2 linked regions of the Coturnix japonica genome follow. The protein of the gene in region 2 purifies or fractionates together with the protein of the main gene of each other region. This does not show direct contact. Links are inferred from orthologs where the notes say so. Each region holds a gene or a part of one and is shown on either strand. Other genes may lie near its edges. The genes, in order: SYK and BLNK.

Region 1 (3,889 bases), on a different chromosome or scaffold from region 2:
AAAAGTTGCTGGACATATTCAGGACACTTAGCACTCCATACTTCTTTTGAGGAACAATGTTCCAGAGCAAACTGGGACAAAGCAAGAGGAAAGGCAGGGTAGTCCTCTCTGTTCAAATTAATACATACCACCATCAGCTAGTTACAAACCAAGTGATAGTGAAACCACACAAAATAATACTCTATTACATTTCTGCATTCTGGCTATTTAAGAATATTTCCTACATTTGAAGTTGTTCTGTTACCTGGTACAGAGAGGTGGCAGATACCTACGAGAACTTATAAGATGAAAACTGAAGCTCAATTGGTCTCAAAATATTTTTCCCTTTCTTTCCTTTCAACAAACTCATTTAAAGCAGTGGTCACTTAGTCATTGTGCACACAGAGACAGGAAATTCTGAACTAATTTTGGTTTTGGAATGTAAAGATAAAGCAACACAAAACTGTTTCCCTACAATAAAATGGTATTTTCTCCAAATTAGAAGTTAAGATGATCCTGCAAATGCTTGCAGTGTGATAAGTTTTCACTCTTATGACTGAACTACATTTCTCATGTTCACAAGATTATCTTGAGCTTTTAAAGAGAACACTGTGCTCAGACTGAAGTCGTGCACAGTCTTAGTGGCACAAGTATGTTCACCCCGATGCAGAAGATCACACAAGTACACCTCATCTTTAAATGCAAAATAAACAATTTTAAATAGCTGACTGGAATGATCTTTCTGTAATTGTTACTCACATGCAAAGATACACACTGAATTCCTTATAATTACAATACAAAATCATACATGTTCCCCTTTTCGGCCATTTTATCCTGGAGCTAAACATGTAACTGGTGTGCACAAAACAGGTATTGAACCACTGATCGAAGAGTCCATAAAGCTGAAAAATGGACATCACCATCTAGTACCTTTCTGCCATAAATACAGACACAAACACAATTGCTGACAGTCACAGTATTCTCACTAGGAATGTCAGCCAATTTACTGTGGGCTTTGTAGGGTTTTTTTGTTTGTTTGGTTGGTTTTTAGGGTTTTTTTTTTTTGTTTTTTTTTTTTTTGTTTTTTGTTTTTTGCTAAATATTGAGTAATGAAAAAGCATAAAGAAAGTAAAATGAATCAAAACTGATTATAAAAAAACAAACTTTGATTGCAATCCCATGAACTCTGAACACAACATATATTTCAGTAGTGACTTCTGCTCCTCATGTCTCTGTCATAACATACACACACACCCACACACAAAGATAAAAGTGTATGGTAACATGTCTATGTTATATTTTTTGTTATTAGGGTGCTTAAATCCAGCTTCTGGTTTTACCATCAGTGCTCTAAAATGCAGTTTAGTTTCCAGCGTAACCTGCTAGCTCCTACTAAAATTGAACTTCTGGTTTTGTCTTCCTGCAACTTCAGATCTAATTCTGCTCTTCTTTCAAAATGGACAAGTAGCACTGTTCACTGCTGATCTTATGGACTTAATACTTTCTAAAGGCAGAAAACCAAGAACACTTCAACAGTTTATCATGGGGTTTTGCAGTTATTTCATGTACATTTGAAATCTGAAGCAATTACTTACATTTTGGGGCACATTCGGTGATTCCAAACCTTTTAGTTCAAAGTCTTTGCCAAACTATAACATTTCTCCCCCACAGGAAAACTGTCAGAAATAAAGAGCATTCAAACTTCCTTATTTGTCTCTATCACTGAATGTTCAACAGAGGGATGAAAAAACAACACAGTTCCTCTAACTGGGCTGCCTCAACGTGTTCTGCTCTGCTTCAGCTCATGGCCTCTGAGCCTGTAGTAGCACCGAGCTTAAAAGACTGATAGTCACTTGAACCAGACAGCTGTGCCTGTGGATTAAGCTGCAGATTCAGCCCAAAGAATTGAGAATTCTAAATGTCTTTGGATAAAAAGAATATAAAAGAAGCCCAACTGAAAAGAACATCAAAAGAAGTTACAAGGAGTTCATTCCCTTAGATGGAATTGTTTTGTTTTGAAATGGAATTACTCTGTAATATTCCATGCATTCTGGCCAAATTGTGTCTCAATCACCTCTGGTGGGGTCGGCGTCACCCAACAAAAGCAGCATCCATCTCTTCCCAGGGTGGCATTACTACACCCACACCCAATGAACTCCAGCACAAACTGCACATAGTACAGAGCTACAGAAGAAAATACTGCCCAATACTGAAATGATCAGCAGCAAGTCAACCATTGCACCCTTAGTACCAACATTCAGCACTTCTAGCAATGCTCTGTGATTATTCTGACAGAAACAAAATCCAGATTTTTTATAAGAAAGAAGCTCTTTTTAAAGCCATTTTCCCAGGTGCCAAATCTTTTATATACTATGCACCATTCAGAAGCTGAACAGTTACTTTAGTGTAAATTTTACGCTGTTAAAAACTACTCCGCAACACATTCAAAACATGACTAAATCTATATATTTTCTGTATTTAAGTTCCATATTCTAGTTCCTCAAATGCCAGGCTACCGATGTTACTACAGAAGGACGGAACGTTCCAGCTTGCCTCAGCAGATTGGCACATTTACTCGCCGCTCTCCGGGTAAACCCCGGAGAAAAAAGGCGGCTGGCAGACCCCGGCCCACCCCGCTCGTTGTTGCCAGCATCCCCCCGGCCCGGCGTGGCCTCCACTCACCGCTACGGCGGCTCCTCCGCTCGCCGCCTACTGCCGCCCACCGGCTCCTCCTGGGAGCGAGCCGAGCGGCGCGGCTCAGCCGAGAGCTGTGCCCGAGTTATGCGTTGCGAGAGCCGCCGCTTCCTCGTTTTCTCTCTCAGCCGAGGCCACTTCCTCAACGAACTGTCGGCCCCCTGCTCCCTCCCTCGGGCGATTCCGGCCCCCGGCCTGTCAGAACGTTTGTCCATGAGGGTGTGCGGTGTGCGACCCGCGGCGCCCCGACGTGCGTGTTGTGGTGCCCGATGGTGTGAGGTGAACGTGGGAAAGCAGAGGGACGCAAGAGTGGTCGTCTCTTGGGAGAAAATGAATAGACCCGCTGATTGTCAGCATTGAAATGTAATGTATTTTGGTACTTTTGTGTTTTGGTGAGAAAATTGCTTCTGGAGGAGCAAAAACGGTTTGTATTTGAAACAACATAGGATCTTTGTGCTGCATATGGTATTTACTCATTTTGTAGCCGCTGCTAGTATGGAAGAGACAACACCTGGTGTGGAAGAGAGCTGAAGAGGACCCCGTCCCTAAGGCTCCATGTACGAGGGAGTCAATTCCACTACAGATGTCTGCACATGCAACAGACGGCAACAAGCTTCTCCAGGATGCGCTGCCACTGGCATTGAATGGCACCTCAGGTGCACCTGCAGCCATGCTTCTCCTTCAGGCATGGCCACTGCATGGTGGTGTTGTGTGCCATGATGAGCAGCACTAACGTGAGGCGAGGTCTGTTTCCTGCTCCCTTGTATTAAGTGATTGCTGCAGTGAGTGGGCCTGCTTATTGTATAAGAAAGAGGTGCTGCAAGGAAGCACTGGCTCTCCTTCCACATCCATTATACTAAACAGAGCTGCCAAAGGGCAAAAGCCTCATGTTTCATACCGGTTGAAAAGGGCCTTTCTTTTGGTCTGATTGCCAAAGTGCAGATACATTTCTGAATTGGCACTACCTGTGTGTTAAGAAAACTTGATTCTTGGAGGGCCTTTGATGGCATAAGTCTTTCCTAACACCATCCAAAGGCACAGTCTACAGGAAATGGCTTTTGGAAAGTCATTACTGTGCTATGAACAAGATTTTAAGCAGAAGTTTCTTCTTAAATTGGTGAAAAAAAAAAAAAATGTTTCATGACTTTTAATTATATGTGAGCAAGAGTACTTGACCTGGTAAGGGTAGAGTTAACTTTCCGCAGCAGCTGATATG
Region 2 (3,822 bases):
TAATGTGCCCATTTAAAGGGTGTGCAAAACTCTCTTTTGATTTTTGTATCCTTTCAGTTTTATTATCTGAACTAAATAACAGAAACTGATAAGTTTGGATGCTAGATTGACCTAATATTGTAATTTTGGCTACTAATCTTTGGGACAGAAGAGGTATATTGGACACCTGTATTGGTCTAAGAAAAAATTTCAAACGGCTTCAAGTACAAATACCATCCTGTACTTAAAAAAAAAAGGTGTGGGGGATGGGGGGGGGGGAGAAAAATTGCTTAAACTACAAGAACTTGACTTTCAGTAGCAATGAGTTATTTTGCCCAGTTTGGAGTACCTTCGAGTGCCTTCACTGACTGGGTAGTGTGAGTAAACGCTATCACTTGAAAATGCTGTCCCCAGAGGAATTGCGTTTAAGAGGACTGGGAGGATCACACCATTCCAACCAGGGAATGGATGTGTTTGTAACCAACATTAGTGAAAAGCCATTAACCTGGTGGGTGAAAATGGAAAAAAGAGTAGCTGGTGCCTCTTTAAATTGTACTTTTCAGAGCAAAGTCTCCCCTAAAGGACAGTATCTGGGTGCCAAAAGAAAGCATCTACAGAAGAAACTACAAAACAAATTGGATTGCTTCTGTTCTAGGAAGGTGGAAAGTCAGTCTGCTCACTACTGTTAGTTCAGTGCAAAATGTCTGCTGCAGAATTTGAGCTTTCAATTTCAGAAATGAAATATGAACTAATAGATCTCACTACAAAATTCAGGGTCAATTTTATCCATACTCTATGAAAGCCTAAGTTTATTATAATGTTCAAAATTAATTGGCTGGCTAATTTTTTTCAAATCCCCTAACAGAAGCTATGAAAAATATCCTGGATACTGTATGCTCTCTATACAAATATATAATTAAAAACTAGTACAGACTGCAACCACAGATAACTTATGCACTTCCCACTTAATTAAATTGCTTCTTGTCAAATCTAACATACTTTTCCATTACAGGACCATGAAGCAAACAATAATGATGCAAGTAAGTATTCTGTACTGTAAACATGGTGGTATGAGCAGAATTTGTTGTCAGTATGTCACTGGTGACCTTAACGTACCATGCAGTGGAATGTGTCAGTGTAAATGTTATCTGTATTAGCCAGCAACAAGCAAGAAATGCTCCTGAACTGTTTTCTAATACAATCAGAGTGAAAACATGTCAAGAAAATCAAACCACTGGCTTTTTTTTTAACCTCTGATATGTTAACATTGAAATACAGTGAGGAAAACCCATTAATCAGGCGAAGCTAATATTGCATGCTAAATATTTCATATCTGTTTCTAGATCATAGCTTCAATAATACACAAGAATCTAAATTTCCTACTGGAGCAGCTCCATCTCCATTACCAAGGGCCCTGTGAGTAAAAATAATAGGCAAGCTACTTCTTTGAGGGTGGGGCAAATTAATACTGGCTGTACTGGGAGCCAACTCCTAACCTGGTCTGTGGCAATCAATTCAGGAATAATGTTTTTTTCTGCAGTTAATGAACAATACTGTGACTTTAGGGGAAGACAAGCTATTCTTCCATTATTTCTGGAGGAATGCTGTTTGTAAACCAGTGACATTGCCTTTCACTGTGTGCTGCTGACGGCAAATGCTGGCTGGATTGCTTAATCTACCCAAGTACAGCAGCAATAGCATGCACGTGCTTGGTTGCTAAATGAATTCCATGTATCAGCCAAGTAACCATGTTCCTTTCTTCCTACAATTTACAGAAAGAAAACTTCTAATGCAGTAAATCCAGCAGTAAGTTGATCTATAATTGTATAATTAAGCAATAACTTTGTGTGAATCCAGCAGTAAGTTGATCTATAATTGTATAATTAAGCAATAACTTTGTGTGATCAAACTTGATCATGAATTTGGCTACAACGTAAAGGCACAGAAAAAGCAGAAGAGAGACTAGAAGAATAAGCGTGGATGCATTTACATGAAATAAGTAGCAGGGAGAAAGCTCAAGTAGAAAAATGTTTAGATTAAATGAATGTTTGGATCTGATACCCTACAATCATAGAATCATTAAGGTTGGAAAAAAGAAATAAGGTCATCCAGCCCAACCACAAGTCCATGTGTGTGACCAGTCTACACCAGGTCACTCAGAGTGATGTCTATCCTTTTCTTGAACACCTCCAGAGACGGTAACTCCACCACCTCCCTGGGCAGCCTGTGCCAGTGCATTACTACTCTCCTTCTGAGAAGAAACACTTGCTTATATCCAGCCTGAACCTCCACTGATGAAGCTCAAGTCCATTACCTCTCATCCTAACCACTGTTATCTGGGAGCAGAGACCAACCCCCAGTTTGCTACAGCATTTTAGGAAGCTGTAGAAAGTGATAAGTCTCCCCTGAATGTAACAATATGCACATACTGCAAGGACTGAATTAAAATGAGAAATAAGAAGGAAATCCCTGAAATAAATAGGGCCTACATACAAAGAACATACATTTATTTTCAGAATGATAGTTCAAGAAAGATGTGGGATTTTACCAGGATTAGTCAGGTTTTTTTTTTCAATAAGCATTTCATCTTTATAAGAAATCCCAAAACTTCCAGTAGGAAAAAGAGATAAATTGTTGAAAATTCCTATTAAATTAAATAGGAAACATATTTTGAAACTGGCTGTTTATTATCATCAATTTAAAATAGGAAGGAGGAAAAAAAAAAACCAAACTTAAGTAGAAGGCTGAGAGGGATTTTACTGGTGGCTAAACTGGCAGTCTGAGCTTCAGTACAGAAAGAAGAATGGGTTCAGACATCTGTATGTACAGATCAACAAAGATGAAAATATTCAAATTTTGATTCAAAAGTATTTGGGATGAACTCTTCATTTCTGGACTTGAGGTCAGAAGGAACTGTAAATTACTCATGGGGATGAAAACTAAAAGAAAAAGTCTTAAAGTACTCATTTCTGAATTTTTCTTCTGTCCATCCATTCATTCCCACAAACTAGGATTCTTTCCAAATCTACTTCACAAAACCCCAAGTTGCATTGCCATACAGCCAGAGGCTCTTCTCAGAATAGCTGTGCCCCTGCCTCCTGATACCCACAGGACTCCATCAGTTCTGAATGTAAACTAGTTAACAACAACTGTAAAAAGATATTTGCTGTGTAAATAATGTAATGACATGTTATTTAGTATTGTAATTCTGTGTTTAATTACAGAAACCATGCTTGCCTTCCAGAGACAACTTCACTGTAAATGAAGGTAAATTTTCTCCACTAGTTTGGAAAAGTTGACATTATCAAAGTTATTTATTTTTCTTATTAGAAACAAACAATATCACATCCAATTTATCCTTGTTATTTTAGGAGAGGCTGGTCTTAGCAGTTTAGAACTGGATCTGGCCAGCCTTAGTTGCACTGAGTATCATTGTTCTCTAAAAGCAGTCGCAATAAAACTTCTGAGGTTACTGGCAGCATAAGGCATGACATAACGCAGCAGCAGTGTGCCATATAGTCCTCAAAGCAGAGACAGGGGAAGGGAGGGGAAGCATGAGCGCATCATTTTGAGCTCAGCAAGGAGCATCTCACATAGAGATGGCTCCTGGCAAGAGCCAGTCCATCACACAGGCAGGAAATCAGTGCCAGGCGGCAGCACCTTGAGGCAAAAGCTCAGCTGGGGCTGCTGCCTGACACAGGGTAACTGCAGCCCCACTGCAGCTCCTCTGGCTGAGCAGCCAGCATTGTCCTCTGTGTCACACAGCTCGCCCCCCAGAAGGCAGGGCTCCCACAGAGTTCTGTGGGCACTCAGAGTGCAGCTATTTGCTTATAAACTTTGGTA

The links.
Region 1: the proteins of BLNK (region 2) and SYK purify together in Homo sapiens (affinity purification with western blotting; 3 studies listed by BioGRID and IntAct, with this or other methods). This does not show direct contact. The link is inferred for Coturnix japonica from reciprocal best matches to the Homo sapiens genes BLNK and SYK.

The regions. Positions count from the first base shown.
Region 1 is NC_029547.1:39,247,252-39,251,140, reverse strand, and holds the start of SYK (tyrosine-protein kinase SYK), read right to left. Parts: upstream 2,956-3,889; 5' UTR 2,662-2,955; intron 2,619-2,661; exon of another isoform or gene 1,575-2,618; intron 1-1,574. UniProt on the Homo sapiens protein: Non-receptor tyrosine kinase which mediates signal transduction downstream of a variety of transmembrane receptors including classical immunoreceptors like the B-cell receptor (BCR).
Region 2 is NC_029521.1:18,331,142-18,334,963, reverse strand, and holds part of BLNK (B-cell linker protein), read left to right. Parts: intron 1-991; coding exon 992-1,019; intron 1,020-1,322; coding exon 1,323-1,395; intron 1,396-1,754; coding exon 1,755-1,785; intron 1,786-3,203; coding exon 3,204-3,246; intron 3,247-3,822. UniProt on the Homo sapiens protein: Functions as a central linker protein, downstream of the B-cell receptor (BCR), bridging the SYK kinase to a multitude of signaling pathways and regulating biological outcomes of B-cell function and development.